2 linked regions of the Pelodiscus sinensis genome follow. The protein of the gene in region 2 interacts with the protein of the main gene of each other region in a pairwise test. Links are inferred from orthologs where the notes say so. Each region holds a gene or a part of one and is shown on either strand. Other genes may lie near its edges.

Region 1 (3,745 bases), on a different chromosome or scaffold from region 2:
GGCAACATTTTGTTTGCACTGGAAAGGCTCCACATACCCAAACCCCTCCCTTCCACAAGCCCACCATTGTACTCTTTACAAATGTTGAAAATTATGAATGGTTCTTTAAACCAAAAGGGGGAGGGGGATATCGCAAAATCGGAGGGTAACGCTGGTTGGCCAGTCTTCACATTTTCTAAGATCAGATCCACCATTAACTAGATTAAAAGAAAGGAGGACACATTTTTTTCCTTTTAGTAGAAAGGAGAAGAGCATGTTATTCTCACTCTGGACTCTCCCACTTCTTAATCATTTTCCAACTGTCCTGCGTCCCACCCCTTTGTCCTCTTCTCCGTACAGCTCCATTCCACATACATTGCAACTCATACTAATCAACCCACCAGAAACATTACCAGATGGGGGGCTCCTTCTAGGCTGGAAAGACCCTCATTTCCCCCTTCCCGCTCCCCTCCCTCATTCAGTCCCTTGTCTTTCCCCAGCGCTCAGCCAATTGCAAACAAGAAACCAGAAAGCCACCAAACATGAAATCGCAGGCAAAGGTGCTGCGCATGGAGAGATCGCTCAGGGAAGTGCTAATAAGAATATTACCCCCGCAGTTTTCCTAAGTACCCCTCCCCTCCTCGCTGGTGAGTCACCCTCGCCAAGGGCTCGAGCCAGCTTGCAGGGAGAGCAGAGTTTGCACGAACGACCCCTAAGAATAATACTGGTGGCTTCGCATCACGGGGGAAGGGTGGGGGGCGTGGGCATTATAATGGCATGTTTCCCTCCTTCCTGGAATCCCCTCGGCGATTGCCCCCGCCCCGAGAGAGCGTGCGTCTTCTCCTCCCGCAGCTGTTTGTGCTCGCTCGCTGCTTGCCGAAGAGACAGAGTTGGCCGCAGCAAAGCGAGGCCGGGCGTTATTTGCGAGTGGGCGTGTGCTCGGGGGAAGGGCCGAGCCGCCGGCCGCAGCCTGGAACAGGGGCTGAGAGGGAACACGCGCTCGGGGCCAGCGCCCATCAAACTCCCGATCTCCCTCTTTCTAGTCCCCAGCCCTCTTCAACTTGTCCCTGTGTGCTGTGCGCAGCCCGCCTCTGCCTCCTCCCCCGGCCTGTCCCTCACCCAATCTCTCCGCCTCCTCCGGTGAGTGTGTGTGTGTGAGAGCCGCCGAGCTACGGCCGCTATCTAATTGAGGAGCTGGGATTCCTCACGTGAGAAGTTGATTTGTAGTTTGAACACGTGGCTCATTCAAAAAGCCGGAATATTCAAGTAATTTTCTTCCTCCCCCCTCTTGGTTTTTTTTTTTAATTGAGAGGCGGCGCCTCCATGCACGTAGTGTGACATTTTCGTAGCCCGCCTGCTGTCGCCGTTGCCAAACGGGCTTGGGGGCAAGACAAAAAAAGTAGTTTATCTCCCCCTCCTCCTCCTTTCTCAGCCCGCCATCCTAGTCCCCACGCTGGGTGTTTCCCCCTGGCCTCCCCTCCGCGCCCGGCTCACGCAGCATTCACTCCGGATTCCGATTTGGAGACAGTTTTTTTTTTTTTTACCCCGGGAGAGAGCAAGCAAGGGAGGGTGGGAGGGACTCAGGCTGCAGATCTGATTTTTTTTCCACCTCGCTCTCTCTCGCTCGCTCTCCTCCATCGCATTTTATTTTCTCCCCCCCCTCCCCTCCTCACCTTATTTTTGCAAGCCCGGGCTGTAATTTGTTGCGCGTGTGTGGATTGTGGGTGTTTTTTTTTTAAACGAGCAAGACCATGAACAAGCTGTACATCGGCAACCTCGGCGAGAGCGTGAGCCCGCTGGACCTGGAAAGTCTCTTTAAGGAGTCCAAGATCCCCTTCACGGGCCAGTTTCTGGTGAAGACGGGATACGCGTTCGTCGACTGCCCCGATGATAACTGGGCTATGAAGGCCATCGAGGCACTTTCAGGTGAGTCTCTTCAGGAACCCCCCCCCCATCTCATTGCCCCCCGGCAGCTCCTCTTCCCTCACCCACAGAACCCCCCTTATCTCGCCGCTTCCACGCCGGGGAGACCCCGCAATCTGTCCCTGCCTTGCCAAGGGGGTGGGGGCGAGGTGGGTGCGCTGGGGGCTGCAAGGCAGGAGCTGGGGGGGGCTGCGGCCCCCGGGCACGGCGGCAGGTAGCGGGCACGCCGGGGTGTGACATCCCGCTGCTTTCTGGCCTCCGCAGCTCGGGGCTTGCGTTGCAGCCGGGGGGCCATAGGAGGGGGCCGGGGTGCGCTAGGCTGGCTCTGGCGGCGCGGGAGGTGGCCAAGGCGGCGTTTTCCCCCCCATCGCTTCCAAGAGGCCGGGGCAGAGGCACCAGCCTGGGCCCAGACACCTACCACGCCGGGGCTCCCATAGTCCTTCCCCCGCCCCGACGGACAATCCTGGCTTCCCTGCGAGCGCCCGGGGACGCGGGGGACTTTGCAGCAAGGGGAGGCCGGGCCGTGCAATGGTTTCGGGGGGCCACGCCAAGGTTAGGGTGCGGAGGGGAAACAGCCCTTCTTCCGGCATAGTGCGCAGGGGCGGCGGGCGAGCCCTGCTCTGTGCACACAGCGCGCACCCATAGGCGCTCCCTGCCCAGCGTGTCGCCCCGGCAGCCGGGCTGCGGGCTTGGCAGAAGCCGCCTTCTGGGTGCACTTGGAAGGAGTTGGCTGGCGAAGCTCCCGGCCCCACGCGGGGTGTTGCACGGAGCCGACGCATGCTCCAGCCTTCCCTGCAGCACTGGAGAGTAACCCAAACTCGGGAGAGTAAAGGCCCCCACCCCGGGGTGAGGAGCTGGCAGGGCTCGGCGCTGGAGGGCTGCATTCCTTCGGGATTATTTATTTCGCTTTCCCTTTGCCTGCCTCTCCCGCACCCCCCGTCACTTGCAGCAGCCAGGCCGCCTCTCTGTCTCTACATCCTGTTTTTGTGAAAAAAGCAATGTAGCCTGCTTGACTCGGTTTGCAGAGGCTTGAGGAGGGGAAGCTCCTGGGGCTTTGAGGCCCCCTCTAAAATCCTGTCTTTTCATCCATCCCTCCTCCAGAAAATGCCATGAAGTTTAAATCGAGGCCTGTCGCCCTGTGGGACGCGTTGGAGGTAGCCGAGGGAGGGAGGGGTGCCCAGAATAGGCAAGTAGGGGAGACACAAGCGTTTTCACACAACCCTGAAGCATTCCCAGTGTCTTCTCTCTTTGAGCTCCAGGGCTTTGATCAGCTCATCCCAGCGAAATTTGTATCTGTATTACAGATCACTTCGAGAAAATGGGTCAAATACACGTAGAGGTACCTTTTAAAACAGCGTCTTTCACTTACCCTTTCGGCCAATTATTGTGCTAAAGGACGTATTAAAAGTGAAGTCTCTTGGCTTGTGGTTGCAATTTGCCACTATACTGTTGTTACACCAGTTATTAATAAATAAGCGAATGTGTTGCACTTTTAATTTCCTGTGCTGTTTTAAAACACCACATATTCAATTTGAGAAGAGGGGGGCAATGAGAGAGTCCTTCAAACACATTTAAAAACACTTTCCCCTAATTTTGTTTTTATTTTCAGGTAAAGTGGAACTGCATGGTAAACTCATAGAAGTTGAACATTCAGTCCCTAAAAGACAAAGGTAAATATTTTTTTTCTTGCCCTTGTCTGCTACAGCAAAATCAAAACAAAATGCTTAAGTTATGTTTGTTTCCTTGTGGATAAATGAACTACTTTATTAAATTAGAAAACCACTATTGATATCAGAAATAAATCCAGAATAATCTCTTTATATTTTTAACATATTAGTCTGCA
Region 2 (3,745 bases):
ATACCCTAAATTTTCATGTTACATTATGGCTGTGTCTACACTGGCATGAATTTCCGGAACTGCTTAAAACGGAATACTATTCCGTTTTCAGTTTTTCCGGAAAAGGAGCATCTACATTGGCAGGCTGCTTTTCCGGAAAAGTCCTTTTTCCGGAAAAGCGTCTGTGGCCAATGTAGACGCGCTTTTCCAGAAAAGAGCCCCGATCGCCATTTTTGCAATCAGGGCTTTTTTCCAGAAAAGACTACTGGGCTGTCTACACTGGCCCTTTTCCGGAACAGTGTTTCGGAATAAGGACTTATGCCCGAGCGGGAGCAGAATAGTTTTTCCGGAATAGCGGCTGATTTTATACAGTAGAGCGTCATTGCTTTTCCGGAAATTCCAGGGCCAGTGTAGACAGCTCACAGCTTATTCCGGAAAAGCGGCTGATTTTCTGGAATAAGTGGCCCAGTGTAGACGCAGCCTAAGTGATCTGCTATAATAATCAATACTGGCAGAATCTCAGACCTAGGAATCCAGCTTCCTAGGAATCCAGCTGGAATGCATTCTAGTTTATTACAGAACCTCAGCCCATAATGTATTTCTACCTTAATTATATGCGATTTTCACCAGACTCTTACTTTTAACATGATCACTGCTTGGTTTAATTAGGACTAGCTCTGCATTTAGTACTAGAATTTATATCTGCATCTACTGCTCTTTCCAGCCACATGTAAACATGTTTTGCAGCAGATATATAGACCAGTTTGATAACTTGACACTGGCCATTGTTCAGTGCTTCTGTGGAAATATAAATCTTCCATAATGCACCTCTTTGCACCCTTTATGTTAAGCAAGTGCCTCACACTCTGAAGGACAAAGCATGAGAACCTTTATCATAGTTATCCTAACCAGTGGCATGGCAGAGGCTATTTTTACTTACAAAGTCTAATCTTTTTTTTAGGCTGAATGATATCCTCATTCCTTCCTCCACTGGTGTGTCTCAGTTGAGTCTCTAGCAGTGAACTCTGGTGCTCAGAAGGACCTTCAGCCACTCCTAAGGGTATTCAGATAGCTTGCAAGGGCTCCTGTGACACAGCTCAGCTATTAGTGGCTAGTCCAGGTACACCCATTGTTTCCCTGGCAGATGCAATCCTAGTGGAATCTCATAGCTCTCTTATAGTAAAAGCCCTTGAACCACGTACCAAGATGTGGGTCTGTAGACAAAGATGTGGTTCAGGGGGAGCACAATATTGCTTTGCATCCTCCAGCTGCTGCTGCATGAATCTGTGGTAACTCTCAGGAGTGCTTTCTGCCATTTCATCCAGCATGTTCCAGAACTGGGTCACTTGGGTCAGCATGTCCTCGGGGCAAGAAGGAGCAGCCATGATTAGCACAAATGTCCCTCAGGAAGCAGCACAGATGCTATTCTTCATGCCTATAGGTGAAAAAGGAGCATTAGGGGGAGTATCTGCTTTGAACTGCTGCCCTTCACAGGTCCTCGACTCCAAGAAAAAATCTATTTTAATATCAAGAAAAAAGATGGGATTTCTATCTGCCATTTGGTCTCCACCCCCTTTATCCACCCTGGGAATCATGCTCTTCCGATAGTCACCTTCCTCATCACCCCACCTGTTCCTCAGTGTCTCCCTATTACCACTACCATTACCCTCTTCCCTGCCCTTTGCCTTGACCTGCTAGATCCCAGGGCTGTGAACTGTCCCCACTCCCCACCATCCACCTACCCCTAGGTTCCAGTGCCTCATGCTGCCTCCAGCAACTCCCTGCCCCAAGCTGCCCCTTAACTCAACCCCAAAGTCCCGGGCTGCCTCTTGACGTGATCCCAGCACCCCATGCTGTCCCCTTGCCCCCATCCCACTGCCCCAAGCTGCCCCTTGACCCCCATCCCAGCGCCCCGAGCTGCCCCCTTGGCCCCCATCCCAGTGCCCCGAGCTGTCCCCTTGGCCCCCATCCCAGCGCCCCGAGCTGCCCCCTTGGCCCCCATCCCAGCGCCCCGAGCTGTCCCCTTGGCCCCCATCCCAGCGCCCCGAGCTGCCCCCTTGGCCCCCATCCCAGCGCTCCGAGCTGCCCCTTGGCCCCCATCCCAGCGCCCCGAGCTGCCCCCTTGGCCCCCATCCCAGCGCCCCGAGCTGTCCCCTTGGCCCCCATCCCAGCGCCCCGAGCTGCCCCCTTGGCCCCCATCCCAGCGCCCCGAGCTGTCCCCTTGGCCCCCATCCCAGCGCCCCGAGCTGCCCCCTTGGCCCCCATCCCAGCGCCCCGAGCTGCCCCTTGGCCCCCATCCCAGCGCCCCGAGCTGCCCCTTGGCCCCCATCCCAGCGCCCCGAGCTGCCCCCTTGGCCCCCATCCCAGCGCCCCGAGCTGTCCCCTTGCCCCCACCCCAGCGCCCCGAGCTGTCCCCTTAGCCCCATCCCAGCGCCCCGAGCTGCCCCTTGGCCCCCATCCCAGCGCCCCGAGCTGCCCCTTGGCCCCCATCCCAGTGCCCCGAGCTGGCCCCTTGGCCCCCATCCCAGCGCCCCGAGCTGCTCCAAGGCCCCGACTCTAATGCCCCGAGCTTCCCGCTGGCCTCCACCCTAGCCCGGAGCTCCGAGCGGCCCTTTGCTCCCTTCCCCCTCACGCGCCACACAGCTCCTACCTCGCGACACCAGAAGCCGTTTCCATAACAACCGACGTGAGAAAAACCGGAAGTGGAAGTGACGTTAGCCCTCCAATCCTTGCGTTCCTTACTGGGTCCCTAGGTCCCGCCTCCGGTTCGGGCCCTCCGCAGCCGGGTGCGTCCGGTGGAAGCACTTCCGGGTCACGCACTTCCGGGCTGGGGGGAGTAGTCCCCCTCCCTCCGCGGGTGAGAAGGGCGTTGGGTCGGGAGGGGGGCTGAGCTGGGGGAGGGACCTGGGGCTTCTGGGGGAGGATGTGAGGAGGGGGTCTTGGGGGGGGGGGGGGCAGAGGATTGCGGGGGGGGGTCCTCCCCAGGTCTGACTGGATCTGTGCCCCCCCCCCATATGCCCAGCGCTGTGGCAGCCACTCACTGCCCCACGCTCCCTGCCGGCTGGCGCTGCCTCCGCTTCCCCCATCACGGCCCCCAGCCTGGCTCCACGTGTGGCTGCTGATGGGTCCCAGGCGGGCTGGTGTTTTGGGTCGAAGCCCATTTCCCTAGACCTCCCTCCCCTCTTCCCGCTTTCCGGGAGGCCTCTTTATTTTCCACCCTAACATGCTGCGAGCTGTCAGCTAGCTGCTGGCTGACACCACGGGGGGGCTGCATTGAGCTGGGCGGTGAATGGCTGTATCTGTAGGGCCTGGGTCTCTCCTCATGTTCGTTTTTCACCAGCATAGCTCCGTTGGTTTCAGCGCAGTCTCATCTGACTTGTGCGGAGCGAGGTAAGCGCAGGATCAGATCCACCACGTGAAAGGTGATCAACATGGACATTAGACTAATAAATACTTTGTTTCCCGCTTCTCATTGATATGTGCGATACGAGATACAGAGGTTTATCAGGAACTCTGAACGTGGGCATCAGTTACTGCATGATCCTTTCTAAGCCCTGTATGTGAAGAGTGGCTCTAAGAAGTCTTCGTTTTGGGGTAATGCAGTGTTTTCTTAGGGAACACAAATGTCAGCCTGAGTCAATAACATGTTTTCTGTCATACAGGTGGAAAAAAATTGCTTTTAAGCTTTGTCTCAGTCCTGACGAGCATTTTCTGCATTAAAGAGTCTTATATGTGATTCTCTAATTGCTTTCTTTTTTGTGAATTC

The links.
Region 1: the proteins of PIH1D2 (region 2) and IGF2BP3 interact in a two-hybrid assay, tested with the Homo sapiens proteins (2 studies listed by BioGRID and IntAct). The two-hybrid records come from large-scale screens. The link is inferred for Pelodiscus sinensis from reciprocal best matches to the Homo sapiens genes PIH1D2 and IGF2BP3.

The regions. Positions count from the first base shown.
Region 1 is NC_134712.1:198,981,836-198,985,580, forward strand, and holds the start of IGF2BP3 (insulin-like growth factor 2 mRNA-binding protein 3), read left to right. Parts: upstream 1-815; 5' UTR 816-1,119; intron 1,120-1,727; 5' UTR 1,728-1,730; coding exon 1,731-1,905; intron 1,906-3,511; coding exon 3,512-3,572; intron 3,573-3,745. UniProt on the Homo sapiens protein: RNA-binding factor that may recruit target transcripts to cytoplasmic protein-RNA complexes (mRNPs). This transcript 'caging' into mRNPs allows mRNA transport and transient storage.
Region 2 is NC_134736.1:6,937,194-6,940,938, forward strand, and holds the start of PIH1D2 (PIH1 domain-containing protein 2), read right to left. Parts: upstream 2,746-3,745; 5' UTR 2,630-2,745; intron 1,861-2,629; exon of another isoform or gene 1,722-1,860; intron 1,415-1,721; 5' UTR 1,365-1,414; coding exon 1,182-1,364; intron 1-1,181.